7 linked regions of the Macaca fascicularis genome follow. The protein of the gene in region 1 purifies or fractionates together with the protein of each later gene. This does not show direct contact. Links are inferred from orthologs where the notes say so. Each region holds a gene or a part of one and is shown in the gene's direction. Other genes may lie near its edges. The genes, in order: STK25, SLMAP, CAB39, PROSER2, SIKE1, CTTNBP2NL and FGFR1OP2.

Region 1 (3,958 bases):
CAGGGGGCACTATGACCTGGCGGCCCACGGGGCAGGGGGGCGCACCAGGTAGCCTTGGGCTCTGCAAGTCCCTCCCTGACCTTGGGGAGGTGACCCCAGTGCCACGACGGTTTCCAGCAGCAGTCACTGTCCTGGGCGGGTACCGCGCTCTAGCCCAGGTGGGTCCCACAAAGGTGTGACCAAGGATGTCCTATGATCACCCCTTTACAGGTAAGGAAACTGAGGCAGAAGATGCGAAGGTCGCGCAAGGAATGGGCTGTGCAGGTAGCTTCTCCAAGGCTTGCTGCGCCCTGGCCTGTGCGCATGATCCCGAGCGGGGTCTCGGTGCGAACAGGGGTTTCGCGGTGTGACCAGCGCCGGCTTATCTCCGAGCCGTGAGGACAAGGCCAACAGCCTGGGCGGCCGCGGTGGATCCTCGGGGCGAGGCGGGGAGGGCGCGGGGCCTTACTGGCCAGCTCGGACCAGGGCTGCGCAGGGCAGAGCCCAAGGGAAACGCCGCGCGGCCGCCGTCACGTCGGAGACGACGCCCTGCAGGCGCCAGCAGACGCAGAAGGCCAGCGAGGGCGAGGCACGGAAGACGCGACGCGACAACGACCACGTGCCCCGCCCGCCCCGCCGCGCGCCCTGCTGGGAGACGCAGTCCAAGCCTTTCGGGAGCCGAACTCGGGGTCCCAGAGAGCCTCGCGGCGCGCATGTGAGCCCCGCCCCTCTCTCGCGGCCTGCCGGGACTTGTAGTGCAACGCCAGCAGACTTCCGGGCCCGGAATGGGCGGTGGGACTCGGGGTCCCAGAGAGCCTCGCGGGGCGCATGTGAGCCCCGCCCCTCTCTCGCGGCCTGCCGGGACTTGTAGTCCAACGCCAGCAGGCTTCCGGGCCCGGAATGGGCGGTGGGACTCGGGGTCCCAGAGAGCCGTGCGCGGGCCGCGACGCCGAATACCGCCCTCGCCGTCGCCTCCTCCGGGCTTTCTCCTGTCGCTGCCGCCACCGCCGTTGCTTCGCGGGCTGGGAGGCCCGGGGTCCCCGGGCGAACAGAGGCTGCGGGTGGGAGCCTTCGCGGGCGCTGCAGAGCGGGCCGGGGGAGGCCGGGATGGAGCCCCGCGGAGGTGGGCGCGCTGCCGGGCGCGCGTTAGCGGCGATTGGGGAGGGGGCGGAGGGAGGGGCCCGGGGCGGGGCTCGGTGGCGGGGACTCCGGGGCGGGGGCACCGGGAGGAAGCTGCCTCGGAAGAGGTGGGGGCGGGGACGGGAGGGGCGGCGAGTCCCCGGGAGCCTGGGCTGTAGGCCCGGGCGTGGCGGGGCCCCGATGGCCTGGGGGTCTCCTGGGGCCCCCCTCCAGCCCGCCGCCCCGGAGCTCGGTCTCAGATGACTGAACTGGGCGCCGACCGCTCCTGCTGTCCCTCGCAGTGGACTGACGCCGCAGGGGCGAGCGAGCCGGCTCCACGCCTCTCCGCGGGATCCAGACGCCTCTCGGGGCTGTCGGCGGAGGGTCCGAGGCGGCCCGGCCATGGCTCACCTCCGGGGATTTGCCAACCAGGTGAGGAGGGTGCAGTTCAGGAAGACTAGCGGCCTCTCAGCGAGGGGCGCCAGAGCTTCCCGGGGGCTCCGAGGGGCGCCTCGCCGGAGCGGGCGGTGGGTGAGGGAAGGAGCGCGCGTCGTGCGACCAGCGGAGCCGTCCTGAGGTGGGCGCAGGGCGGCCCCCGGGCTCTGCCGTGTGCTTGTGGCGTTTTGCGTGGTAGGAGCTCGCAGACCTCTTGACACCGAGCCCCGGGTGGCTCCGCCTGTGCGAGGGCGGCGGAGGTGCGTGAAGAGACACCGGCTCCGGGACAGGACGCTGCCCCCAGCGCGGGGCGGGAACCTCGTGTCGGCATCTGAAGGCAGTGGAAGGTCAGGGGCCACACTGCGGCCTGAGCCCGGGCCACGGGTCGTTCCGGCCGTTCTGGCCGTGTTGGGCTGGGCGGGGGCCGTAGAGGAGACCCTGATGGGCGCTGAGGGGCTGGGAACGTGGAGAAGCCGATCTGAGCGGCCGGTGTGCAGGGAAAGCGGAAAACGCGTGTGTGCTTTGGCCCAGGGGAAGGTGAAAAGGCTGCTCTGTTCAGAACCGTTTAACCCCTGCTACGGGCGGTTGCCCGAACAGGAGGCTCGTCATTCCTCTTTGAAGAAGTCGGTTCCACTATGGAGCCACCTTGAAGCGTCTGGTGGGACAGCCTCGGAGGGAGCCACTACAGCGAGCCCTTAGTCTGGAATGAGGACCAGCTGCTGCTGCCACAGGGCATGCCAGGGAAGGAGGGTGGGGACAGCCAGCCTGGGACCTGGAGACTTGCACTGTGTACCTCTCCCCATTTTTTTGACTCTGGCTGCTGGGTTTTTTTACGTCTTAGCGTTCGGTTTTGCTCTCCTTGATGCCTTGGCTCTGCCTAAGGTGTTGGAATCGCCGCTAAAATGTGTGGCCCTCCTTGTTCACTCCTCTGTGCTGAATTCCTGAGAGCTGGGTGTGCAGTGGAACAGGAAGGGCGTCTGTCCGCATAGGGGCAGGAACTGGAGTCAGGGCTGCTTTGGAGGAAACTGGACCAGCCTAGAGACCCGGAATACCGTGTGCAGCTCTTGGGCCAGGCAGCCTGGACCTGCGCGGTCACAGATGGGACTGGGGCTTGCTGACTGATGCTGAATTAAGCTAACAGATTTTTGACTTTCTGTATCTGGTAACTTACATGACTAAGGTGCTGGGAGAAAAATCTGTCACCAATTTATTTTATTTTTATTTTTTATTTTTTTGAGACAGAGTTTCACTTTTGTTGCTCAGGCTGGAGTGCAATGGCGCAATCTCAGCTCACTGCAACCTCTGCCTCCCAGGTACAAGCCATTCTCCTGTCTTGGCCTCACGAGTAGCTGGGATTACAGGCGTGTGCCATCACGCCCAGCTAATTTTGTATTTTTAGTAGAGACGGAGTTTCACCATGTTGGTCAAGCTGGTCTCAAACTCCTGACCTCAGGTGATCTGCTTGCCGTGGCCTCCCAAAGTGCTGGGATTACAGGCGTGAGACACCGTGCCCGGCCACCAGTTTATTTTTAAGAACTGCAGAAATAGCTCCTTTGGGTCACGGGATGAGAAATTGGAGCTCTGAGGTGCCCTGTGACTGTGTGCTGTTGGTTCTTGGTGCGATCAGACCCAGGGAAGGGAGTGGGCGCACTGGGGAAGGGAGTGGGTGCACTGGGGAAGGGAGTGGGTGCACTGGGGAGGGAGTGTGGGCGCACTGGGGAGGGAGTGTGGGTGCACTGGGGAAGGGAGTGGGCGCACTGGGGAGGGAGTGTGGGTGCACTGGGGAAGGGAGTGTGGGCGCACTGGGGAAGGGAGTGTGGGCACTGGGGAAGGGAGTAGACGTACTGGGGAGGGAGTGTGGGCACTGGGGAAGGGAGTAGGCGCACTGGGGAAGGGAGTGTGCGCACTGGGAAGGGAGTGGGCGCACTGGGGAAGGGAGTGTGGGCGCACTGGGGAGGGAGTGTGGGCACTGGGGAGGGAGTGTGGGCACTGGGGAGGGAGTGTGGGCGCACTGGGGAAGGGAGTGTGGGCACTGGGGAAGGGAGTAGGCGCACTGGGGAAGGGAGTGGGCGCACTGGGGAAGGGAGTGTGGGCGCACTGGGGAAGGGAGTAGGCACACTGGGGAAGGGAGTGTGGGCGCACTGGGGAGGGAGTGTGGGTGCACTGGGGAAGGGAGTGGGCGCACTGGGGAAGGGAGTGGGCGCACTGGGGGGGGAGTGTGGGCACTGGGGAAGGGAGTGTGGGTGCACTGGGGAAGGGAGTAGGCACACTGGGGAAGGGAGTGTGGGCGCACTGGGGAGGGAGTGTGGGCGCACTGGGGAAGGGAGTGGGCGCACTGGGGAAGGGAGTGTGGGCGCACTGGGGAGGGAGTGTGGGTGCACTGGGGAAGGGAGTGGGCGCACTGGGGAGGGAGTGTGGGCGCACT
Region 2 (3,500 bases), on another chromosome or scaffold:
TAAAAATAAAATGTCTACCAGAAACGGATTTTTTTAAATGACTTTTAGTTGATAACCTAAGTTTTTTTTGTTTTGTTTTGTTTTTTGAGATGATGGAGTTTTACTCTTATTGCCCAGGCTAGAGTGCAGTGGTGCAATATCAGCTCACTGCAACCTCCACCTCCCGGGTTCAAGCGATTCTCCAGCCTCAGCCTCCCAAGTAGCTGGGATTACAGGCATGTGCCACCATGCCTGGCTAATTTTGTATTTTTAGTAGAGATGGGGTTTTGCCACGTTGGCCAGGCTAGTCTCGAACTCCTGACCTCAAGTGATCCGCCCACCTTGGCCTCCCAAAGTGCTGGAATTACAGATGTGAGCAACCGTGCACAGCCGATGCCTGTTTTAAGTGGAGAAATAGAAATTTCCCAATCATAGTGGTGGGTACTTCAGATACATTTCTTTGCTTCATCTGCCTAGAAAATTCACTTATCCAGAACACTTTAATACCCAGTAATGCTGGGTAAAGGGAAACCTATAGGGAATTAATACTTTTTACTTCAAGACTGAAATAGTTTGGCTGACACTCCTTACCAGGATATAAACTCAGGCTTCCTAACGTTGGCTATGGAATTTTTCTTCACCTGCTCTTTTGCTCAGTTTGAAATTTTCCTTTTTTCCTATAATTCACTTGGTGGGAAAAGTGATCCTTTATATTAAAAACAGATGACAAAATGGTGATTACTCTTAATTTTTTTTAACTCCAGGGCCAGAAAATTCTTACATAGAATAAAGTCAACATTAAAGACTTCTTTTTTTTTTCTTTTTTTTTTTTTTTGAGATGGAGTCTGCCTCTGTTACCCAGGCTGCAGTGCACAGTGGCACTATCTTGGCTCACTGCAACCTCTGCCTCCCAGGTTCAAGCAATTCTCCTTTCTCAGCCTCCTGAGGAGTAGCTGGGATTACAGGCATGCGCCACCACACCCAGCTAATTTTTGTATTCTTGGTAGAGATGGGATTTCTCCATGTTGGTCAGGCTGATCTCAAACTCCTAACCTCGTGGTCCGCCCACTTTGGCCTGCCAGAGTGCTGGGATTACAGGCGTGAGCCACCGCGCTCAGCCAAAAGACTTCTTATGAGTGCAAGTTATTCCTCCTTAAACAAAAAGACTTGACTTTGGTGTTCCAGGTGACTAAATAGGGTCTGGCATATAAGCCTGACTAGAACCATAACTTCATACCCATTTTAAGTTGAATCTGCACACTTTTTTTTTCTTTGCCTTTAGTATGAAAAGACACAGACTGTACTCTCAGAACTGAAGTTGAAGTTTGAAATGACTGAGCAGGAAAAGCAGTCAATCACAGATGAGCTCAAACAGTGTAAAAACAACCTGAAGCTGCTCCGAGAGAAAGGAAATAATGTAAGTCTTTGCAAACTTGGCTTAGCTTTGATTGAGAGGCACATGAGAGATTGAAATTGATTTTCAAAGGACTTTATCACTGATTTGTGAAGCAAATGGTACAAATGAAGTAGGCTTTTCATTATGAAATTCCATGATAGAATCACTGTGCTGTCAGATTTTTAAGTAAGAATTTGTGCCTTTAACCTATACCCCTAGAAGAGCCTCGGGACTGCCTGGAGGAAGAGTCTTGTTTGCAATAAAGCAGCTTGCCTAAGAACTGTCAGGTTTTCCCAGATGAGTCTGAAGCTCTGTCACTAAGCTATCATCTGGCTCTTATTTCTCCCCTGCTGGGAAATGAAGCACTGTACCACCAGGGATCCATTTAAGACAGAGTAGTATATGTTGTTCTTATACCAATAATGTTCTCACTGAGGCACAGTTTCTAAAAAGCTTAATGTCTCTTTGTCATTATATAAATATTAGAAAATATTTGGTGAGTTTCTGTAGTCCCATGAGAGAGGGAGAGAGATGAACATTTTGGTGTAAATTGAGTTTAATATTTTTTTGTTTTTCATTTGCTAGAAAGACAGATGGTCTTTAAAAAGATACTATACTAAATAAATGTTGTGTTGTACGTTTGGTGATCGTTACCTTTGTGGGCCCTGATAGATGTTTAGTGTGGTTGGTTGTGCTCTGACTTATTTAAAACCACTGTCATGGCTTGGACACTGCAGTGTGCGTGAGCCACATACTTCCTATGGAGGAAGCCACTCTGCTTACCTTGCAGCACAAGTACAAAAGAGTGATGTTGCATGGCCATCCTGTTACTCATTTGCACACAGAATGCTCATGAGTTGCGTCCAACTGTCCTTTGCTAAAGAAAGTCTTAGTTTGTAGATAATAAAGGCTTGCTGCTTAGGTAGAAGTCTTTTAGAAGTTGATGAACTGGGTGTGGAGGCTTTATGCTAAGGAAAATGGTTTGCATTTACTTTTCAAAATGTAGATTACATAACTCTTCTAAAATCAGATCACAGTGGTTTGATTACGTCTTTCTTTTGTGTTAATTCATATCCTTGGGATTTTGGAATTTCAGTCTACTGCTCAATAACCCATGAAGACATCTAGCATAATCAGAATGGATCCCCCCCGTACTATTTAGAACCTTTTCAAAAGTAACTTTGCTATTATTATTTATAGCTACAATTCACCTTAGGGGTGAATTTCCTTTTTTTGTGATATTGCACTTATGGTACTAAAATATCACTCTGTAATAACACTCATTGTAGCAATTTTCTTCCCATTTTAAAAATTATTATAATTATATTCTGGTAACATAATTGAAAGCCCTGAGAGTCAGCTGCCTTTTTTTTCTTTTTTTTTTTTTCTTTTTTTTTTTGGTTTGAGATGGAGTTTCACTCTTGCTGCCCAGGCTGGAGTGCAATGGCATGATCTCAGCTCACCGCAACATCCACCTCCCGGGTTCAAGCGATTCTCCTGCCTCAGCCTCCCGAATAGCTGGGATTACAGCATGCGCCACCACACCTGGCTAATTTTGTATTTTTAGTAGAGATGGGGTTTCTCCATGTTGGTCAGGCTGGGCTCGAACTCCCGACCTCAGGTGATCTGCCCACCTCGGCCTCCCAAAGTGCTGGGATTATAGGCGTGAGCCACCGCATCCAGCCCTGCCTGTCTTTATATATAACCAAACCTTTATTACATGTCAAATGTCTTGCCTGATTTAGGAAGCACGCATTGTCACAGGGCTTTTATTTTTAAGCTTGAAAGCTGTATCATCTAATAAGCAAAAGAGCTTTAGTTGAAAAAAAAAAGATTTTGTTAGAGGCATAAAATAAACTTTAACCATTGCTAAGGGAGTACATTGTCAAATAATGGATTTCAGGTATCGAGCAAAAATAGTGTACTGTCAAGCAGAGAGCATCAGCTGATGGTGAAGTGTTGTCAGTGGTTTGTTTTTTGTTTTTTTGTTTTTTATTTTTTTGGAGACAGGGTCTTGCTCTGTCACCCAGGCTGGAGTGCAGTGGCGTGATCTCACCTCACTGCAGCCTTGACCTTCCCGGCTCAAGCAATCCTCCCACCTCAGCTTCCCAAGTAGCTGGAATTA
Region 3 (2,315 bases), about 11 Mb from region 1:
TGCCTCTGCCCACAAGGTCCGCAGCTTGGGCAGCCCCACTGCTGGCTCTGCACACTCAGCTTTGGCCAGGTTGTTGGCATGTTGACAACCTGAAGAAGTGACTGCTGGTTTTAGGAAAGAGTAAGCAATGACAGTTTAAAAGTTGTGAGTTTACATGATACAACCAACTTTCCAGAAATTAGTAAACCCTGAAGTAAACAGATGTTTTTCAGCGTAATTGGTATAACTAGTGATAATGAGGGTCGGTAAGAAAACCCTGGATCATCTTCAGGAGACTTAAGAAGGAGCAGAAAAATACTCACTTGTGTAAACCTTTCTGAATTAGCTGTGATAAAATGGTACCTGTGGCAAGTGCAGGGTTCATGTATGGAAAACTTGGGACACAAAACCCTTCATCCTGGAAAGTCCCGCTAAATAAAATTTTAAAATAGTTATTTTAAATTAAGCTAAGGTTTGTGGTTAGTTAACAGGAATAATCAATAGCTTTTGACCATTTTCTGAATAGTTTCTAACACAAATGCACGCTTAAAGGGGAGGCTCTGAGAGTCTCCAGCTCAGGGCGGAGGGGACATCTTGAACATCCTCTGCAGAGAGCAGCGTCAGGCCTCCTGTAGATTTCATCTCCTCAGGGAAAGGTAGGAAGGCATTCAGGTGGCAGAGAGAAGGCCCTTGGTAGCTTTTAGTTTGTAATTCAGTTCAGTTCTTCAGTCTTTTGAGTGCCTACTAATATGCTATGCTTAATGATGATTATGAAATAAATTATTTTTTTAAACTTTGATTTTTCCTTAAATTTTAATAACAATGTAAGAGTAATTATTTAAATGTCTTCTCAGCTTCTCGGTGAACTACTACTAGATAGACACAACTTCACAATTATGACAAAATACATCAGTAAACCTGAGAACCTCAAATTAATGATGAACCTGCTGCGAGACAAAAGTCGCAACATCCAGTTTGAGGCCTTTCACGTTTTTAAGGTAGAGTATAGAACCACCAGTGACACTGTCCACTAGAATTGATCGTCGTCTTTCGTTTGCAAATGACGGAAATTATTAGCCTCACTTTGGTAATCCAGGTGACTTAATTAAATTCAGTCACTTTTCATATTTGTGTGCTATGACTTTTAAACAGAAAGGTAGACCTGGAAACAGGGGTTACTATTTGGATTTGGGAACAAGAAAGTTTATTTATAGAGGAGTGTCATTTATCTTTGGCCTAGAAGATTATTAACTGCAAAACAAAAGCATTTCTTAATGCTTGCTGTGGAGGTGTCATTCTTAAAATCCAGTCTGACCTCTTGTGCGGAGAAATAATTTCTGCCCGTTTTATTCTAAAATCAGAGTCTGTATTTAATACTGCACACTGTGTTGCAGGGCTGGCAGAATGAGTTTATCAGTCGTATTAGTGTTAAAACATGTAATTATTTCTCTCAGTTGTAAAATAAGGTCTTCTACAGCAAAACCTAACGACCCTGACTTCAGCGCCACCCCAGGAGAGCGTAGCTCTGTGCTTTCCTGCGCTGTGGCTGCAGCTCAGGGTGGCTGCGTTTTCTTCTTTCTCTGTGCCTCATGTGCATTTCTCCCCATGCAGGTGTTTGTAGCCAATCCTAACAAGACACAGCCCATCCTAGACATCCTCCTCAAGAACCAGACCAAACTCATAGAGTTCCTCAGCAAGTTTCAGAATGACAGGACGGAGGATGAGCAGTTTAACGACGAGAAGACCTATTTAGTTAAACAGATCAGGGATTTGAAGAGACCAGCTCAGCAAGAAGCTTAATCTCCAATAAACATCTATGTTAAATCCAAATTCAGCGTTTGCTGTTAGCTATTCAGCATCAGGCACTCTTACTGATTCATGAGGAACATTACTGCTAATCTGCTGTTAAGTGAACGGTTTTTCATTTTACCCTTTTGTTTTTCAGTCCAGGTTGGAAATCGTAGCTGCTGCTGCTTGCACACTAGGGCACATGTGGGCTTTCTCTTGATCTTTGTGTCATTTCAGAATTCGAAGTACTACGGGAGTTCTGAACATGGCTGGGTTCATGAAGGCAAATGTATGGATGAGAGTGTGGTTTAGGAAAGAGGGCATTGATACCAGATTAGACCTATGTGTTTGCACCCATCTTTGTTGGCGATCTGAGTGCAGTGTGGCAAGTGCACACCTGGCATCCCTGCGTCAGATCGTACCCCTTCGCTGAAGGAAAATGACGCAGAGCTTTATCTGAAATCAGAGGGGAACTGTATCCAAAATGGGAGTTTGGGGGCAGATAAAGTTGACATGCGAATAAATTGATACTGAAACTTAGCAACTTC
Region 4 (3,961 bases), on another chromosome or scaffold:
AGGACTAAGGCATTGGGGCTCAACCCTGAGTGGGGCCAGTGACTCAGTCATTCTGTGCAACCACTTCCTTCTTAGTTTTCTGTAAAATGGGAGTAAACACAAACATTTTGGGAATCTAGATTGTTATAACATTTGCCATTTGAGTATGTAACAAACCCTACAATTAATACAACCCCATAATCCTTGCTTTCTCCCTGCCTACCGAATTAAACCCAGTAACATTAACCTCCACCAACTTACAAAAGCCTTCCGCAACCAGCTATTAACCTTGGGAGATATTTCCACGGTGATAGCCTGAAGAAGAAAATGCAATGAGCCATGGGGTCAAAAATTCTCCCATGAGTTTCTTCAGCTGTCTGAACCTCAGCTTTCCTGCTCTGTAAAATGGGGTTAAGAAACCAGAAAAACATTTTAAGGATTAGATGAAATAATGTATTTGGTGTATGCACATTAAATGCTGTGTCTGAGGGTACAGGTATGCAATAAATTGCATCAGCATTATTAAGTATAAAATAGCCTCTCCAAGCTGATGATAATAAAAAAGAAAAGAAAAAATTAAAGGCCAAGTGCAGTGGCTCAGGCCTGTAATCCCAGCACTTTGGGAGGCTGAAGTGAGAGGATCGCTTGAGCCCAGGAGTTCGAGACCAGCCTGGGCAATATAATGAGACCCCCACCCATCTCTCCAAAAAATTTTAAATTAGCTGGGTGTGGTGGCGTGCACCTGTGGTACCAGCTACTTGGGAGGCTGAGCTGGGAGGATCACTTGAGCTTGGGAGGTGGAGGTTGCAGTGAGCCAAGATCACACAACGTGCACTCCAGCCTGGGCAACACAGCAAGACCCTGTCTCAAGAAAAATTAGATTAAATTAATGTCCCATCTCTTGTAAGTTTCAGACACACATCCCCACTGCTTTTCTCTGCATGGGTCGCTCGGCGATGGGGTTGGGGATTTTCACGGTGATGTCCCCCAACTCGAACTTCACACCTTGACCGAGGGCACCCGGGAGGCGGCCGCGGGGTCCTGCAGCGCGGCGGGGCCTGGCCCTTTAAGCGCCGCGGGCGCGCGCAGTGCGTGCCTGAGGATCGCGAGTCCCGGCGGCGCGAGCGCGCGGTGCGCGGTGGAGCGCGCACGGGTGGGCGCGCACGGGGGAGAGCGCGCGGCGGGGCGGCCCGGGACAATCTGCGCCGGACGGGCGGCGGCGTGAGGGCTCCGGCGTCAGGGCTCAGGGTCGCTGGCGGCGTGGACACCTGAGTCCCGGAGTAGGGCTCTCCCGCGAGGTGAGTGCGGCCCTAGGACTCCGGGCACGGCTGGAGCGGCGGGAGGGCGTCCTGGCGGCGGTGGCGGCACTGGGGTCTGGCTGGGACGCCGGCGGGTCGGGCAGAGAGGGGGCGCCGGACCCTGCCTTGCGCGCTTCTCGCTCCGACTGGGGGAGCCCGGCGCTGCCGCAGAGGCCACCCGGTGCCCGAACCCTGACCCCGGGGCGTCGCTGCCTCCTCGGGGACCTCTGAGTCGGGGCGCGGCGGGGAGCGCGCTGGGTTCCGAGTCTGGGGCTGTCCTGGGGGCGCAGGGGTGGAGGCGGGTTTCCCAGCCTTGGGCGCAGAGCGTCCCCGCTGTCCCCGACGCCTGTCCCCCAGCCCGGGACCGCTCTCCCTTGCGCTGTGGGACCCCCATGCGGCCTCGCGGAGAGGGTGCGGGTCCGACGCGGCGGGCGGAGCCACCTGTTCCACCCGGGCCCCCAGGTCCTGGAATCACGCGGGAATGTGCAGGGTCTGCCCAACCCAGCCGGCGGGAGGGACTAAAATAGAGGAGAAAATGTGACCCGTGTGATGAAATTGAACAAAAGGCAATAAAATAAACTCCAGTATTTCTCCAAGGCTTTGAAAGTTTCCCAGTATTGTTTTACGGAGTCTAAATTTAAGCATCTAGTTGTTTGGTGTATTTTTTTTTTTTTTCCCTTAACCGCAGGAACTAACCTCAGAAAACTTTTAACTCTTTACCAGAACCTCGTGCGTGCAGAGCAGAGAAGTTAAAAGTGAGTGAAGGAAAATGACTGTGTGTGTCTTTTTCCACCCTAAACAGAGTAAAACGTTCAGATCTGTAGGAAGAAGGTTCTTTCTGGCTCCAATTTTAACGGAGATCATTTTTTAAAAATCTGTATTTCTGAAAGGTATCGAAAGACCAAACCAGGCATACGTGGAAACTTGAGGGAAATGCTCATAGGAGAAAACTTTATTAAAAATACTTTTCTACGTTATTTTTAAAAAACACTACATAAAAGTGTCCCAGCATGCACTAAAACGATTGCCCTCCAAGTTCTGTGTCTGAATTTTACTGGTTGTTTTTCTAGGTGGAGGAGGTATTTTCGTTCGTGAAGCCAATGTGGAAATACAAACAAATGCCCTATTGACTTGGGATTGGGTGGGAAGGATGGAAGTTGTCTAAAATCTTTCTTGCCAAAGTTGACAGCGTATGTATGGAATCTTGTGTGTTTTCTTGTCCAGACTAGTAATAGCCATTTTAATGCGATTGGATTATATCCCTTGGTAACAGCACTTCAGATGAGCTTTCTTTGAAAATTTTAGATGCTGACGATTTAAAAGTAACATATTTTCTCCATTACTAGAAATCAGAAATCCAAAATTAGAGTGATAGTGGAGCGAAAGCTGGGAAGAGGAGCGATGCTTTTAGGAAAGTTTGAGCGTGTTTGAATCTCTGGTTACGGAGGGGTCGCGGGGGGGTGGGATTTGCTCGTTAATTCATTCAGGAATATTTGTAGACTGACCACTTACAGCGCGCAGAGCCGTGACTGGACATCCAGCATACAGTCTTTTCTAGATAACAGCCACATGGCCCAAACTGATTAAAACCAGATCAAGCAAGCCTTCATCAGCAGCTGAAGAGATACCTGGCCTTGGTTCCAAAGTTCTCAGACACCCGAGGCGCCCAGAGTTGGCACTGTGTGTTGATTTGGAAGATCATCTCAGATAACTCCAGGAGTGGAGCCTGGAAACCTGAAGGGGGAGAGAGGAAGGGCCTGGGTAGAGCAGAGCTGAGAACAGGGGAGCCTCTAGAACTAGAAGTTCAAGTGCATCTTATCTGCAGTGTTGTGGGACAGCTGCCAGTGGCACAGAGGCCATTCGGGAGGTGCCAGGGGAATCCTAGGAGCATCCCAGAACCCGAGCTCTTTCCTTTGACGGTGAAGGCCATCGCCGCGTGTCACCTTTCTTTGCACTTGGTGGCTTCCTAGCTGCCTGTGTGCTCTGAGAAGAGGGCCTGGTAACTCTGCCCCTGATAGACTGCAGCCATCCCCGCTCCACTCTGAGGGGTCTCCTGGCCACCATAGGAAAGCCTGTGTTCACGGAGGCGCTGCCCTCTGCACGGGTTATGTCCAGCCAGTGGCAACAACAGCCTCTGTCTGCGGAACCCACAGGGAAGCTGCCCCTGTCCATAATGCCCTTGTCCCCTTTCTAGACTGGCAGCATTCATCTTGAAAACTAAGAGTATTTTAAGAAAGTTGGTGCTGGGTTTGTAATCTGTGCATTCAGGATGGGCAGGAAAGGATCATATGGGGAGAGCATTCTGCCTTGCCGGACAGGGATGGGAGAGCTCTTCGTGAACGTGTCTTCAGACTGGGTACTGCCAGAGACTCGAGCACCGTGAAGACTTGATGCTGTTTATCTTTTTTATTATAGTCAAATACATAGAACATAAAATTTACCACTTTAAAGGGCACAAATCAGTGGCATTAAGTACATTCCATTCCCAATGTTAGGCAATCATCACCACTGTCGAGTTCCAGAACTTTTTCATCACTCCAAAAGGAAACCCATTAAGCAGACGATTCCCGTTCCCCTCTCCCAACCCCTGGCAACCACTGATCTCCTTCTGTCTTGGTAGACTTGCCCCTTCTGGATGTTTATACACGTGGAATCTTAGAATCTGTGGCCTCTTGTGTCTGGTG
Region 5 (4,288 bases), on another chromosome or scaffold:
TTTTGTAACCTTGCCTTTTGGTTTTTGGTTTTTGGCTCTTAACATTGCTTAAGAGGAGTTTTAAGGTTAATGAGTGCCTGCCCACCTCCTTCCCCATCTGGCCTAGAATGTTTAATTGGCTGTAACTCTTTTGACTCTAAGTCGGTTGGCCGCAGGAGTGACATGATGGACTCAGGACAGGTAGCACACCACCCTGGCATTGATATGGGACAAAATTAAAGTTTGGACACTGATACTGTCTCTGGGATACGTTGACAAAAAAAAAAAAAAAAAAGCGGAATGCTGTTTTGAAGGCATGAGTGTAGCCATTCCCCATCTGCGAGCGTTTGATTAGTAAAACTGCTTTCCTTTCATCATCAGTCACTTCTCATGATTTTGGCCTCTAGGCAACAAACAGCCAGACGTGAGCCAGTTGTAATAGCAGCATTATTTACAATAGCAAAAGGCGGAAGCAACCCAACTGTCCAGCGGATGAATGGATAAACAAAACGTGGCATATACATATTATTCAGCCTTAAAAAGGAAGAACATTCTAACATATGCTACTGTGTGGATGAAACTCGTGGACATTACGCTAAGTGAAACAAGGCAGTTATATGAATATAAATGCTGTATGATTTCACTCACGTCAGGTACCCAGAATAGTCAGATTTGTAGAGACAAAGTAGAATGGTGGTTGCCAGGGGCTGGGGATAAGGAAGAATGAGGAGTTATTGTTTAAAGAGTGCAGAACTTCAGTACTGCAAGACGAAGGAGTTCTAGAAATGGATGCTGATGGTGGCTGTATAACCATATGAATATACTACTGAACTGTACACTTAAAAATGGCTGAGATATTAAATTTTATGTGCATTTTGCCACAATTTTTTAAAACTTAAATGAAAGTAGGCCAGGCGCAGTGGTTCACACCAACACTTTGGGAGGCCGAGGCAGGCAGATCACTTGAGGTCAGGAGTTCAAAACCAGCCTGGCCAACATGTGAAACCCCGTTTCTACTAAAAATAGAAAAATTAGCCGGCATGGTGGTGCATGCCTGTAATCCCAGCTACTCGGGAGGCTGAGGCAGGAGAATCGCTTGAACCCTGGAGCCATAGGTTGCAGTGAGCCAAGATCGCGCCACTGCACTGCAGTCTGGGCGACAAGAGCAAGATACCAAGATACCGTCTCAAAAACGAAAAAAAATAAATAAAAATTAAATGAAAATAAAAAGAAAATAACTGTGACTGAATAACAATCCACATCAATGAAAACCAGTGGGGAAAAGAGACCTTCCTTCTGCCCAGCTCATCATGGCCTGACCACCAGGCTGTGGCAACTGGAAACCAAGAGCGTGGTAAGGGCAGGTCTGGGGCTCCGCGTCAGGCAGGACTGCAAGGAAGCCACAGGTAAAAGCGGGTGAACCCGCAAAATAGGGTGCCACTGCGCAGGCGCCTCTTGCGTCTGCCAAGACACCTTTTAAACGTGCCCGGAAGTGACGCCAGTAATGCTGAGACAGACTCCCAGAAGATCTGAGCGAGTCGCGTAGCTGAGCCCGGCAGGGGCTGGGGTTGTGCTGCTGCTATGAGCTGCACCATCGAGAAGATCCTGACAGACGCCAAGACGCTTCTGGAGAGGCTGCGGGAGCACGATGCGGCTGCCGAGTCGCTGGTGGATCAGTCGGCAGCGCTGCACCGGCGGGTAGCCGCTATGCGGGAGGCGGGGACAGCGCTTCCGGACCAGGTCAGGCAGAGGGTAGGAGTCCAGTGCTCTCGGATTCTGGGCACTGAAGGGTGGAGAGCGAGGTAAAGTGGGAACTCGGCCTGAAATTTATTCCCGGTCTCAGAGGGCGGCGGTGAGACCTTTTTCCTGGGTCGGAGCTGAGAATCCTGCCCTAGAGCCCTGACTTCTGCCACTTGAGTTGCATCTGCCGCTGTTCTCTTTAAGGCATGCTTAGACTGTCTCTATTTGTCCAGTATCAAGAGGATGCATCCGATATGAAGGACATGTCCAAATACAAACCTCACATTCTGCTGTCTCAAGAGAACACACAGATTAGAGACTTGCAACAGGAAAACAGAGGTTAGTCAGGCCTTTTCATATCTGGTAATAGTTTAAAGTTACTGCAAAATTGCCCTAAACATTCACAAGGGTGTGCATCTATTTCCAGGTCAGTACTTTTAGTAGGAGAGTCCTCCTGTGCTGGCTCAGTAACAGTAAAGTTTGTTAGATTACCCATTTCAAGGTCATCTGACTGATTTTGTAGCAGCTTACCAAAGAGGGGCTATGTAGAGTTAGAATTATTGCATGGTTTATTTTTAAGCATCTCCAGATGTGTAACAAAAGAGTTCATATCCTCATGGACTTAAAATTTAATGTTTAAATATTAATATAAACACTGAAGGTAAGATTTAAGGTTTTGTTTATGTTCTTGTTTGTGCAAGGTGAAGCAGCAGAATTTTACTCTAAGGGTATATATTCTTAGGCTTGATTAGTACATTATTAATGACTGTAGTATTAATAGTTGTTTACCAGAGGGGTTTCACATATATCATTCTACTGTATTCTCATATCTTCATTTTTATCTATCACAATGCTGTTAAGAAATAGGCTCAGAGAAGCTAAATGATTTACTTATGAGTATTAACCAAGCAAGTTACAGAACTGAACTCAAATCCATGTCTTCTGATGACATATCCGTTGTTGTTACTGCAAGATTTTGCTTCTCTGCCTAGAAAGTTACCTTTAACATAGACTTTAACTGCTCAGTTTTGTGGACTGAAACATTGATTTACAACCTTGGATTCATATTATCTCTATAGTATTGCAAAATTCTAACTGTTAAGACTTTGGATTTGGGAACTGTCTCTCAGACATCACTGCCAAGTTATTTTATTTTTTGACAGAGCTGTGGATTTCCTTGGAGGAACACCAGGATGCTTTGGAGCTCATCATGAGCAAGTACCGGAAACAGATGTTACAGTTAATGGTTGCTAAAAAAGCTGTGGATGCTGAACCAGTCCTGAAAGCTCACCAGTCTCACTCTGCAGTAAGAAACTTCGAATAAATTTGAAATGAACCAAATTGAAATCTTGAGATTGTTTTAGATTGTGTGCTTGTTTTTTTGCTTTTTGAGACAGGGTCTGGCTCTGTCGACCAGGCTGTGGTGTAATGGCACGATCTCAGCTCACTGCAACCTCTGCCTTCTGGGGTCAAGCCATCCTCTCACCTCTGCCTCCTGAGCAGCTGGGACTACAGGTGCACACCACCATGCCCTGTTAATTTTTGTGGGGTTTTTTATTATTATTATTTTTTTTTTTTTTTTGTAGAGATGAGGTTTCGCCATGTTGCCCAGGCTGGTCTGAAACTCCTGGGCTCAAGCGATCAACCCACGTTAGCCTTCCAAAGTGCTGGGATTATAGGCATGAGCCACTGTGACTGGCCATGTGTGCTTGTTTTTGAAGAAAAGTAAGCTTGTTTTCCTTTCATGTTTATCATATTTGTTGTTTATTTTGCCATGGCTTTGTAAAGATATGAATAGAAAGAAGGATAGTGGTTGCTCAGGTCCTTTTATTTGAATGGGACTAACGTTCCCCCTCCCTCACCAAGATCTCTTTTGAAAATGTTCATTAATTCTTAGCCCTCACACCAAACGTAATGTCAGTTAGTGTTGAAGGTGCCCAGTAAATACTTGGTTGGTTATTATACATTTCACTTAAGCTCCTTGGTTGTGAGGCACTTGAATTCACATTTTATTCCTAACATAGTACCTGACATATAGCAAGCAGTCAATAAACCTTTTATAAACTGAACCACATAGCATCATACTATGTTATTAGGGGATAGAAGTATGGTTTTTAAAAAAAACAAACATGGCATAGTTTCTATGCTTTGATTGCTTATTATCTAATTTGGGAGACTCGGTAATTGTTCTTATGTTTGTAGGTGCTTCATGGTTGTCATTGTACATTCGTGTGTACTGTGTCATTTAATTCTAGATGTATAAGTTGGAGCCTACTACTTCTGTGAGATGTAGTGAAATATAAGCTTCATCTTAAATTACATTGAATGCATTTTACTGACTTAAAAGTTTTAGGAAACAGATATTTTAAATATTTGAATGGCTTTCAACTGGAAGAGAAAAATAGATTTTATTTATTCTCATATGGAGGAAAAAACCTGAACTTTGAAAGAGACAGTTTACTCAGATAGATAAACTTTCTAAGTGATATGTCCAAAGATAGAATAAGGCACCTTGGAATGTAGTAAGCTTCCTGCCAGTGAAAGTATTCAAATTTAAGTTAAACAGCCA
Region 6 (3,500 bases), on another chromosome or scaffold:
CCAGTATACAAATACCATCCAAATACTCCAGTAATGTCATAAAGTAAGATGGCTGTAGTCGAGCCAGAAGTAAAACCCCGAACTTCTAACTGCTTTGAATATTTGCCAGCTAATAACAACATAAAATTTTACCATAAGGCTAAGTGATTCCTGGGGCCTAAATTGAACAGTCAATGAAGAAGTCTTCAGATTTTCAGCACTGAAATACTTCTGTGTTAAAGAAACCCCATGTTTGCTTTATTTTCTTAAAGATTCTTTTAAATTAAAGCATAGCCATTGAATTGCAACCTTCCGTTTCTTTTTAAACAGGCTCCTATTTGTGGATGGCGGTGCTAACATAACTACTGATTAAACAGTTTTTAAAAATGGATAAATAATAGTAGTTTTCATGAATAGATTTAATTTGAAAGCTTAAATTACATAGTACTTTGCTGTAATTTTTTAGTTTCTTCAACCCTGTTAACACTTCATTTTTCATTGCAAAATATCTCAAGAAACTTTTAAATATCTGTGTAATAAGTAAAAAGTAATGTGCGTGTAATATGTGATGCTCATATGAAGTTCTTCAAGGTCTTGCTACAGAGATAAGGAAAGAGGGAAGGAAGCCTAGGAATATCTTTCCACCCACCTCCTGATCCTTATACTTCCAACTGGGTACCCAGGGCTAAAGCCCTTAACCAGACTCCAAGCACCACCTTGCATCCCCTTCTTACATGCACATCCCCAAGGCTCATCAAGCCTTGAAAGAGACAGAAAAGAGAATGGAAAGTAACAACCAAACAGAGACAAGAAGAGGGGGTGGAATTTGGCAGCAGGTGGAAGAGATTTTGTGTGCATTTCTGGTTGTGAGGTGCCTCCATCCTCCTTGACCCATCAACAACTGAGTAATGGTTCATATGTACAGATCACAAGTCATCCTAGATTGTCATGTGATCCTACTTATATTTTGCACACTTTATATATCTGCTGGCATTTTGTTAGGTCTCTAAATATATAAACTCATAAAATTGTCGTGCTTAACATATTTTAGGAATGCTAGTGCCATAACATGGGAAAAAAATAACATGTATCTGCTGGTAATATAAGCATTCATAAGCAGATACAAGCAGAGGCAGTAAGCACAGAGGTTAAGGACACAGATTTTGGAGCCGGGCTGCCTGGGTTTAAATGCCAATTCAGACAACTTGCTAGATGAGTAACCAGGAATAGTTTTCTCATCAGCAAAATCGAGATGATAGCACTACCTTACAGGGTTGTACATTTTAAACGAGTTAATATGACTATAAATATTTAGAACAATGTCTAATACCCAGTGCTTTATAAGTATTTGTTCTTGTTAATATACCATGCCACCTTTCTAATGCTGTTTCTTTAGATGGCTCAATCTGACTTGTAATTAGCAGGTTACATTTATACTAATACCACAACCTTTAATGTATAACCACTGGATAGCAAATACCCCCTTCTCAGTAGTTTTAAAAAACAAGATGCTTATTTTTTTTTTCCTCTTTCCCAGGCCCAACACAGAGATACTTTCATTGAAGAACGCTATGGAAAATATAACATCAGTGATCCTTTAATGGCTCTACAGAGAGATTTTGAAACACTGAAGGAGAAAAATGATGGCGAAAAGCAGCCAGTCTGCACAAACCCACTCTCTATTCTTAAGGTGGTGATGAAGCAGTGCAAGAACATGCAGGAGCGCATGCTGTCCCAGCTGGCTGCCGCTGAGAGCAGGCACCGAAAGGTAGGTTCCCCTCAGTTGATGTGTAAATCTTTGTGAAGTCTTGATAAATTATGCCTGATACTTTCTTGTCAGCTGCCAGTTTTTCACAGTAATTCAATTGGGCATCTCGCGGGTATCAAAAAACCCCTTAGTTTATGTAAGAGTCAGGAGATAGAAAAGAAAACACAGCTTATTCCAAGTGTTAAGTTTAGAGAATGTGCCAGACACATTATTTAAGACGGCATTCCTTCTTGATATATCACTCCAAAACACTTTGTATGTTTTTTCAGTTCTTGATCATTCAAACTTTGGGGTTTGGCCAAGCTTGTAGCTGAAGGGAGTGTTCTCTATTTGCTTACTTAAGAGATAAATAAAAAGATTGACAGGTATTTGAGGCATGCTATATCCAAGGGAGAGAAAGAATTTACCTGAGGATAAACACAGAAGCCAATAGATTATTTTCATTTATTCCTGTTATTCCTAGTTTTGAGTTTCATTGCATTTTGTTGCTCATGAAACCATAAATAGTCCCTAGGTTTATTTACCTTAAAGGTGTTCTACTCTATTAGTGAAGTGTTGTGTGTGTGTTTCCATATTTAACGAGCCCTAAATTAGGAAGACAAACCTTACAGTTATTTACCTTATTTACCTTAAAGCTGTTCTACCCTATTAGAAAAGAGTGTGTGTGTTTCCATATTTAACAAGCCCTACATTAGGAAGACAAACCTTACAGTTATTTACATTACTTACCTTAAAGCTGTTCTACCCTATCAGTAAAGAGTGTGTGTGTGTGTTTCCATTTCTTACAAGCCCTAAGAAGGCAAACCAGTGCTTTCCTCTGCTTCATCTTACTGGAATTCTAGTGCTTGTGAATTTATTCACCAACTTGTCATCTTGTCATTTACTGCTCAAATTTGGCCTGTAAAAGATGCTTGGCTACAATCTTCATTTTTAAAACACTATCAGTTTAGATTTATGCCAACAAGGCAGTTATCAGTGCATTTGGTAGGAAACATTTTCATCTGAAAAACTGGGTTAGCAGCTGCAAAATTTGGTGGACCTTACTTTTCTGGTTACCAGTATTAGAGCCATCTGCTTAAATTGCATCTGATAAATTTTCTAGGCTCTGGGTCTCGCACGTGATCTTTTCTTTCCCTTCACAGACGCCAAATGAAAGGCCAGAGTGGAACTTCTTAACCATGTGGATAGGCCTCAGATGTTCCACAATCCCCCAGAAAATAGAATGTTCAGAGTTTATGTATTTTTGTAGGAAATGTATTTTTTCCATAGCTTTAATTAGATTCTCCAAGTTACCAGTTACCCAAGACCCAAAAAAGTTTTAACCTCTGATTAGAATGAAGTAATCTGAAAACATTTACACTCCAATTTAAAAGGTTATCAATGGGTGGGAGTTAGTTGCCTAAATTTGGGGCGGGGGGCAGCTTTTACATAATCCTCTAAAAAATCTTCACAACATTCTTGTTTAATAGGCAGGCTTTATTTCCACTTCATCCATGAGGTGACTGAGTTGTGTTGAAGCTAGTTGGGCTAGCTTTCATGCCCATGGAAGGTGTACTATGGACAGTTTGTGGCTCTAGGTGATTGGAGAGAGGAAGAAGTTAAAAATAATTCAAAATTTCTTAATACTATATTGCAGTGCTAAATGTTTTAAGTACTAAATTTTTGAAACGAAGTACCAACGTTTTTTTTTTCTTTTTTTGAGATGAAGTCTTACTCTGTCACCTAGGCTGGAATGCAGTGGTGCAGTCTCGGC
Region 7 (3,500 bases), on another chromosome or scaffold:
CAGTTAATGAAAATCTTTGTTTATAACCCTTCACTTGGATCTACACCAAAGTTTTAATTTAACTTCTGTAAACCTGGCTTCTGGCCTGGTAATTTAGTGTGATTTTATTTTTTGAGAAAACTCTGAAGAAAGGATGGCTTGCATTGAAAGTTAGGTAAAACTTAGTAGAAAGAAAAGATTTCGGCCGGGCATGGTGGCTCACGCCTGTAATCCCAGCACTTTGAGGGGGCCGAGGTGGGCAGATCATGAGGTCAGGAGATCGAGACCATCTGGCTAACATGGTGAAACCCCGTCTCTACTAAAAATAAAAAAAAATTAGCTAGGTGTGGTGGCAGGTGCCTGTAGTCCCAGCTACTTGGGAGGCTGAGGCAGGAGAATGGCATGAACCTGGGAGGCAGAGCTTGCAGTGAGCTGAGATCATGCCATTGCACTCCAGCCTGGTCAACAGAGCGAGACTCTATTTCAAATTGAAAAAAAAGAAAGATAAAAGATTTCAAGGAGGGTAAGTTTCAGAAGAAACTTAAGTTTTGGAAAGAGACTGTTTAAAATTATTAAAATTTTGTTTGAGGTTTCTGTATACCAGTTGAAGAAGCTGACAATTGACTGTTTCATGTTTTCTCTCATAATTTTTTCAGCTACTCTTAAACATATTACTTACTGATTTTAACATATTGGACGTTTCCTGTAATTACCAGTTTTGTCCTAAGTCAAAACTCTTTTTTTGCAATTTACTAAGGAAGACGCAAGCGTTAGAATTACAATGCAACTTTATGTAAGAAGCAAAAGTTCTTCCAAGAGGAGGTTGAGACTTTGATGTAGCATGACACATTGAGGCCACTTTGGCTGGTCAGCAGTGTTTGTGAACAGTGTCTCAAGTCCCCTGACCAAGCAGAGGTTAGGAAGCATTCTTACAGTCAGAAATCTGATGGTCATTGACCCCAGAATACAGAACAACGAACCAAATGATCTTTCTCAAAAGTGACAAGATAGGGAATGCCCTCATAAAGGGCAAATTTCTGTATAACGTTATATTCACTGGAAATGTACTTTTTTCCCCACTGTCAGTTCTGAGTGTTTTAAATACACTCTAGTTCCATCTGTAAATCTTTTAACTGTGTTCTAATTTTTTTGTAGCAGTGTAAATTTACTTTCAAGTTTGTACCATCCTAACAGAAGCAAAACCACAGTGTTCTTAGGTGTTTTTTCCTCCCTGGACAGTGAACAATACTGTAACAAATGTGTCTTAAGAAGCATATCTGTGTTGACCTGAAACTAAAATAGATATGTTGACTTTGAGTCTTGATTTTAATTTTAATTATAGATATATCTTTAGAAATGAGTTGCACAATTGAGAAGGCACTTGCTGATGCTAAAGCTCTTGTTGAAAGATTAAGAGATCATGACGATGCCGCAGAATCTCTGATTGAGCAAACCACAGCTCTCAACAAGCGAGTAGAAGCCATGAAACAGGTTTGATTTTTCTTGTTCATTCCATTTATCGAAAGCAGTCATTGACATTTATGTATTGCTGGCTAATTAGTATCTAATTTTTTCAACATTCTCTAAAATTTTAAAGTAGTTTGACCTGTGTATTTCAGATTTACTTTAATTTTGTCGTGTTCAGGTGACATACATGGACATATATTTCTAAACCCTAGATTTGATCACTTATTTTGCTGACAAAGTTGCGCATTTGAGTTTAGAAAATAAATGAATTTGTTAGATCTAGAAACATTTGACAAAGACCAGATAATACCTTTTACTAATGTTGGTACACATTTTGTTCTGTCTTGTATAATGTGGAAATGTTCATATTTTTCTTTATAAAAGTACTTAAGGTGATGCTGTTTAACAACAAAATAGCTTTTGAAAATGATGCAAGGTAATATGTGATTTACACTCTGTGCAGTTATTATACCCATACTTGCTGCCTTATTTTTCATTCAATGCTACCAATTAAAGAATACATAAAAAGGGCTTTCTTCTTGCTATTTTTACTGTTGTGTAACAGAATATTCCCATGGGCCACGGAGTTTAGACACTATTTTAACCTTCTGGTAAAAATTTTCAAGTCATTTAAGAAAATTATAAAATCTTTGACATTATGATGGAAATCAGAGGGGGAGAATGTATATTCACGGCTAACTCTCCTCATCTGTTTTGTAAAAGGAAGCAATTCTGGGATAGTATTTTTAACAAAGCTACTGGAAATAGTGGAGCAAGTTTAGTTATTTGGTTTTACAACTGTGTTGCCCTAAACAGATTACCTGCATCCCTAACCAACTGTCCAGCTAGACTCAGGCACTTCAGTGAACATATATCTGGTATTGAGTTGTTAAAAAGGGAGTTTCACATCTGAAGTTAAGAACCAGGAGTGTTATAATGAATATATTACTAAGTGTCTCGTGAGAATGCCTTGAAAATAAATTAGTGCAATTGTAAAATAAGATTCTCATTTTCTTAATGGAAAGTCTTTCTGCATTTCTTTTGTACATGTGCTATTATTATTATTAAGATATTCACATACCATAAAATTTACTTTTTTGAAGGGTACAGTTCATTGGATTTTAGTACACACTTGCAGGTTATACAGTATAACCACTATCTGATTCCAGAACATTTTCATCACCACAAAACCTTACATCCATCAGTGGTCTCTCTCTAGTTTCCCCTTTCCTCAGTCTCTGGCAACCACTAATATTTCTGTCTGTATGGATTTGCCTATTCTGGACATTTTATATGAATGAAATGATAAAATATGCAGCTTTTTGTGATTGGCTTCTTAACATAATGTTTTTAAGGTTCATCTATGTTGTAGCATGTTATCCGTACTTCATTCCTGTTTATTACCAAATAATATTGCATTGTAAGGATACAGCACATTGTGCTTATCCATTCGTCGTTTGATAGGCATTTGGATTATTTTACTTTTTTGGCTGGTAAGAATATATGCTACTATGAATATTTGTGTACACGTTTCTGTGTGGACATATGTTTTCAGTTTTCTTGGGTATATATGTAGAAGTAGAATGGATGGGTCACGTAATAACTCTCTTAAATTTTTTGAGGATCTGGCACGTTGTTTCCCAAAGCAGCTACACCAAGCTTGTCCGACTTGTGACTTGCTGGCTGCATATGGTCCAGGATGGCTTTGAATGCAGCCCAATACAAATTTGCAAACTTTCTTAAAACATTATGAGATTTTTTTTTTTTTTAAAAAAAGGTCATCAGCTATCGTTAGTGTTAGTGTATTTTATGTGCGGCCTGACAATTCTTCTTCCAGTGTGCCCAGGGAAGCCAAAAGATTGGACACCTCTGAGCTACATCATTTTACATTCCATCAACAATGTATGGAAGGTTGCATGCAATTTCTTCACATCCTCTCCAACAATTGTTATTGTCTTTTTCATTATAATCATCCTAGTGGGATATATTGAATTGCATTCTCCTAATGACTAGTTATTTTAATTAAACATCTTGTCATGTGCTTATTGGCCATT

Evidence for each region.
Region 2: the proteins of STK25 (region 1) and SLMAP purify together in Homo sapiens (affinity purification with mass spectrometry; 5 studies listed by BioGRID and IntAct, with this or other methods). This does not show direct contact. The link is inferred for Macaca fascicularis from reciprocal best matches to the Homo sapiens genes STK25 and SLMAP.
Region 3: the proteins of STK25 (region 1) and CAB39 purify together in Homo sapiens (co-immunoprecipitation; 3 studies listed by BioGRID and IntAct, counting the BioPlex papers as one, with this or other methods). This does not show direct contact. The link is inferred for Macaca fascicularis from reciprocal best matches to the Homo sapiens genes STK25 and CAB39.
Region 4: the proteins of STK25 (region 1) and PROSER2 purify together in Homo sapiens (affinity purification with mass spectrometry; 3 studies listed by BioGRID and IntAct, counting the BioPlex papers as one, with this or other methods). This does not show direct contact. The link is inferred for Macaca fascicularis from reciprocal best matches to the Homo sapiens genes STK25 and PROSER2.
Region 5: the proteins of STK25 (region 1) and SIKE1 purify together in Homo sapiens (affinity purification with mass spectrometry; 4 studies listed by BioGRID and IntAct, with this or other methods). This does not show direct contact. The link is inferred for Macaca fascicularis from reciprocal best matches to the Homo sapiens genes STK25 and SIKE1.
Region 6: the proteins of STK25 (region 1) and CTTNBP2NL purify together in Homo sapiens (affinity purification with mass spectrometry; 6 studies listed by BioGRID and IntAct, counting the BioPlex papers as one, with this or other methods). This does not show direct contact. The link is inferred for Macaca fascicularis from reciprocal best matches to the Homo sapiens genes STK25 and CTTNBP2NL.
Region 7: the proteins of STK25 (region 1) and FGFR1OP2 purify together in Homo sapiens (affinity purification with mass spectrometry; 5 studies listed by BioGRID and IntAct, with this or other methods). This does not show direct contact. The link is inferred for Macaca fascicularis from reciprocal best matches to the Homo sapiens genes STK25 and FGFR1OP2.

The regions. Positions count from the first base shown.
Region 1 is NC_088386.1:137,458,475-137,462,432, reverse strand, and holds the start of STK25 (serine/threonine-protein kinase 25), read left to right. Parts: upstream 1-1,500; coding exon 1,501-1,530; exon of another isoform or gene 1,531-1,880; intron 1,881-3,958. Other genes in the region: uncharacterized protein, read right to left, coding at 510-1,502. UniProt on the Homo sapiens protein: Oxidant stress-activated serine/threonine kinase that may play a role in the response to environmental stress.
Region 2 is NC_088376.1:120,997,491-121,000,990, forward strand, and holds part of SLMAP (sarcolemmal membrane-associated protein), read left to right. Parts: intron 1-1,261; coding exon 1,262-1,396; intron 1,397-3,500. UniProt on the Homo sapiens protein: Associates with the striatin-interacting phosphatase and kinase (STRIPAK) core complex, forming the extended (SIKE1:SLMAP)STRIPAK complex.
Region 3 is NC_088386.1:126,737,656-126,739,970, forward strand, and holds part of CAB39 (calcium-binding protein 39), read left to right. Parts: intron 1-833; coding exon 834-977; intron 978-1,590; coding exon 1,591-1,779; 3' UTR 1,780-2,315. UniProt on the Homo sapiens protein: Component of a complex that binds and activates STK11/LKB1. In the complex, required to stabilize the interaction between CAB39/MO25 (CAB39/MO25alpha or CAB39L/MO25beta) and STK11/LKB1.
Region 4 is NC_088383.1:12,721,739-12,725,699, forward strand, and holds the start of PROSER2 (proline and serine-rich protein 2), read left to right. Parts: upstream 1-1,161; 5' UTR 1,162-1,277; intron 1,278-3,961.
Region 5 is NC_088375.1:119,590,416-119,594,703, forward strand, and holds the start of SIKE1 (suppressor of IKBKE 1), read left to right. Parts: upstream 1-1,488; 5' UTR 1,489-1,560; coding exon 1,561-1,731; exon of another isoform or gene 1,732-1,781; intron 1,782-1,952; coding exon 1,953-2,058; intron 2,059-2,882; coding exon 2,883-3,025; intron 3,026-4,288.
Region 6 is NC_088375.1:121,941,143-121,944,642, reverse strand, and holds part of CTTNBP2NL (CTTNBP2 N-terminal-like protein), read left to right. Parts: intron 1-1,516; coding exon 1,517-1,747; intron 1,748-3,500. UniProt on the Homo sapiens protein: Regulates lamellipodial actin dynamics in a CTTN-dependent manner. Associates with core striatin-interacting phosphatase and kinase (STRIPAK) complex to form CTTNBP2NL-STRIPAK complexes.
Region 7 is NC_088385.1:29,703,033-29,706,532, forward strand, and holds part of FGFR1OP2 (FGFR1 oncogene partner 2), read left to right. Parts: intron 1-1,321; 5' UTR 1,322-1,335; coding exon 1,336-1,470; intron 1,471-3,500. UniProt on the Homo sapiens protein: May be involved in wound healing pathway.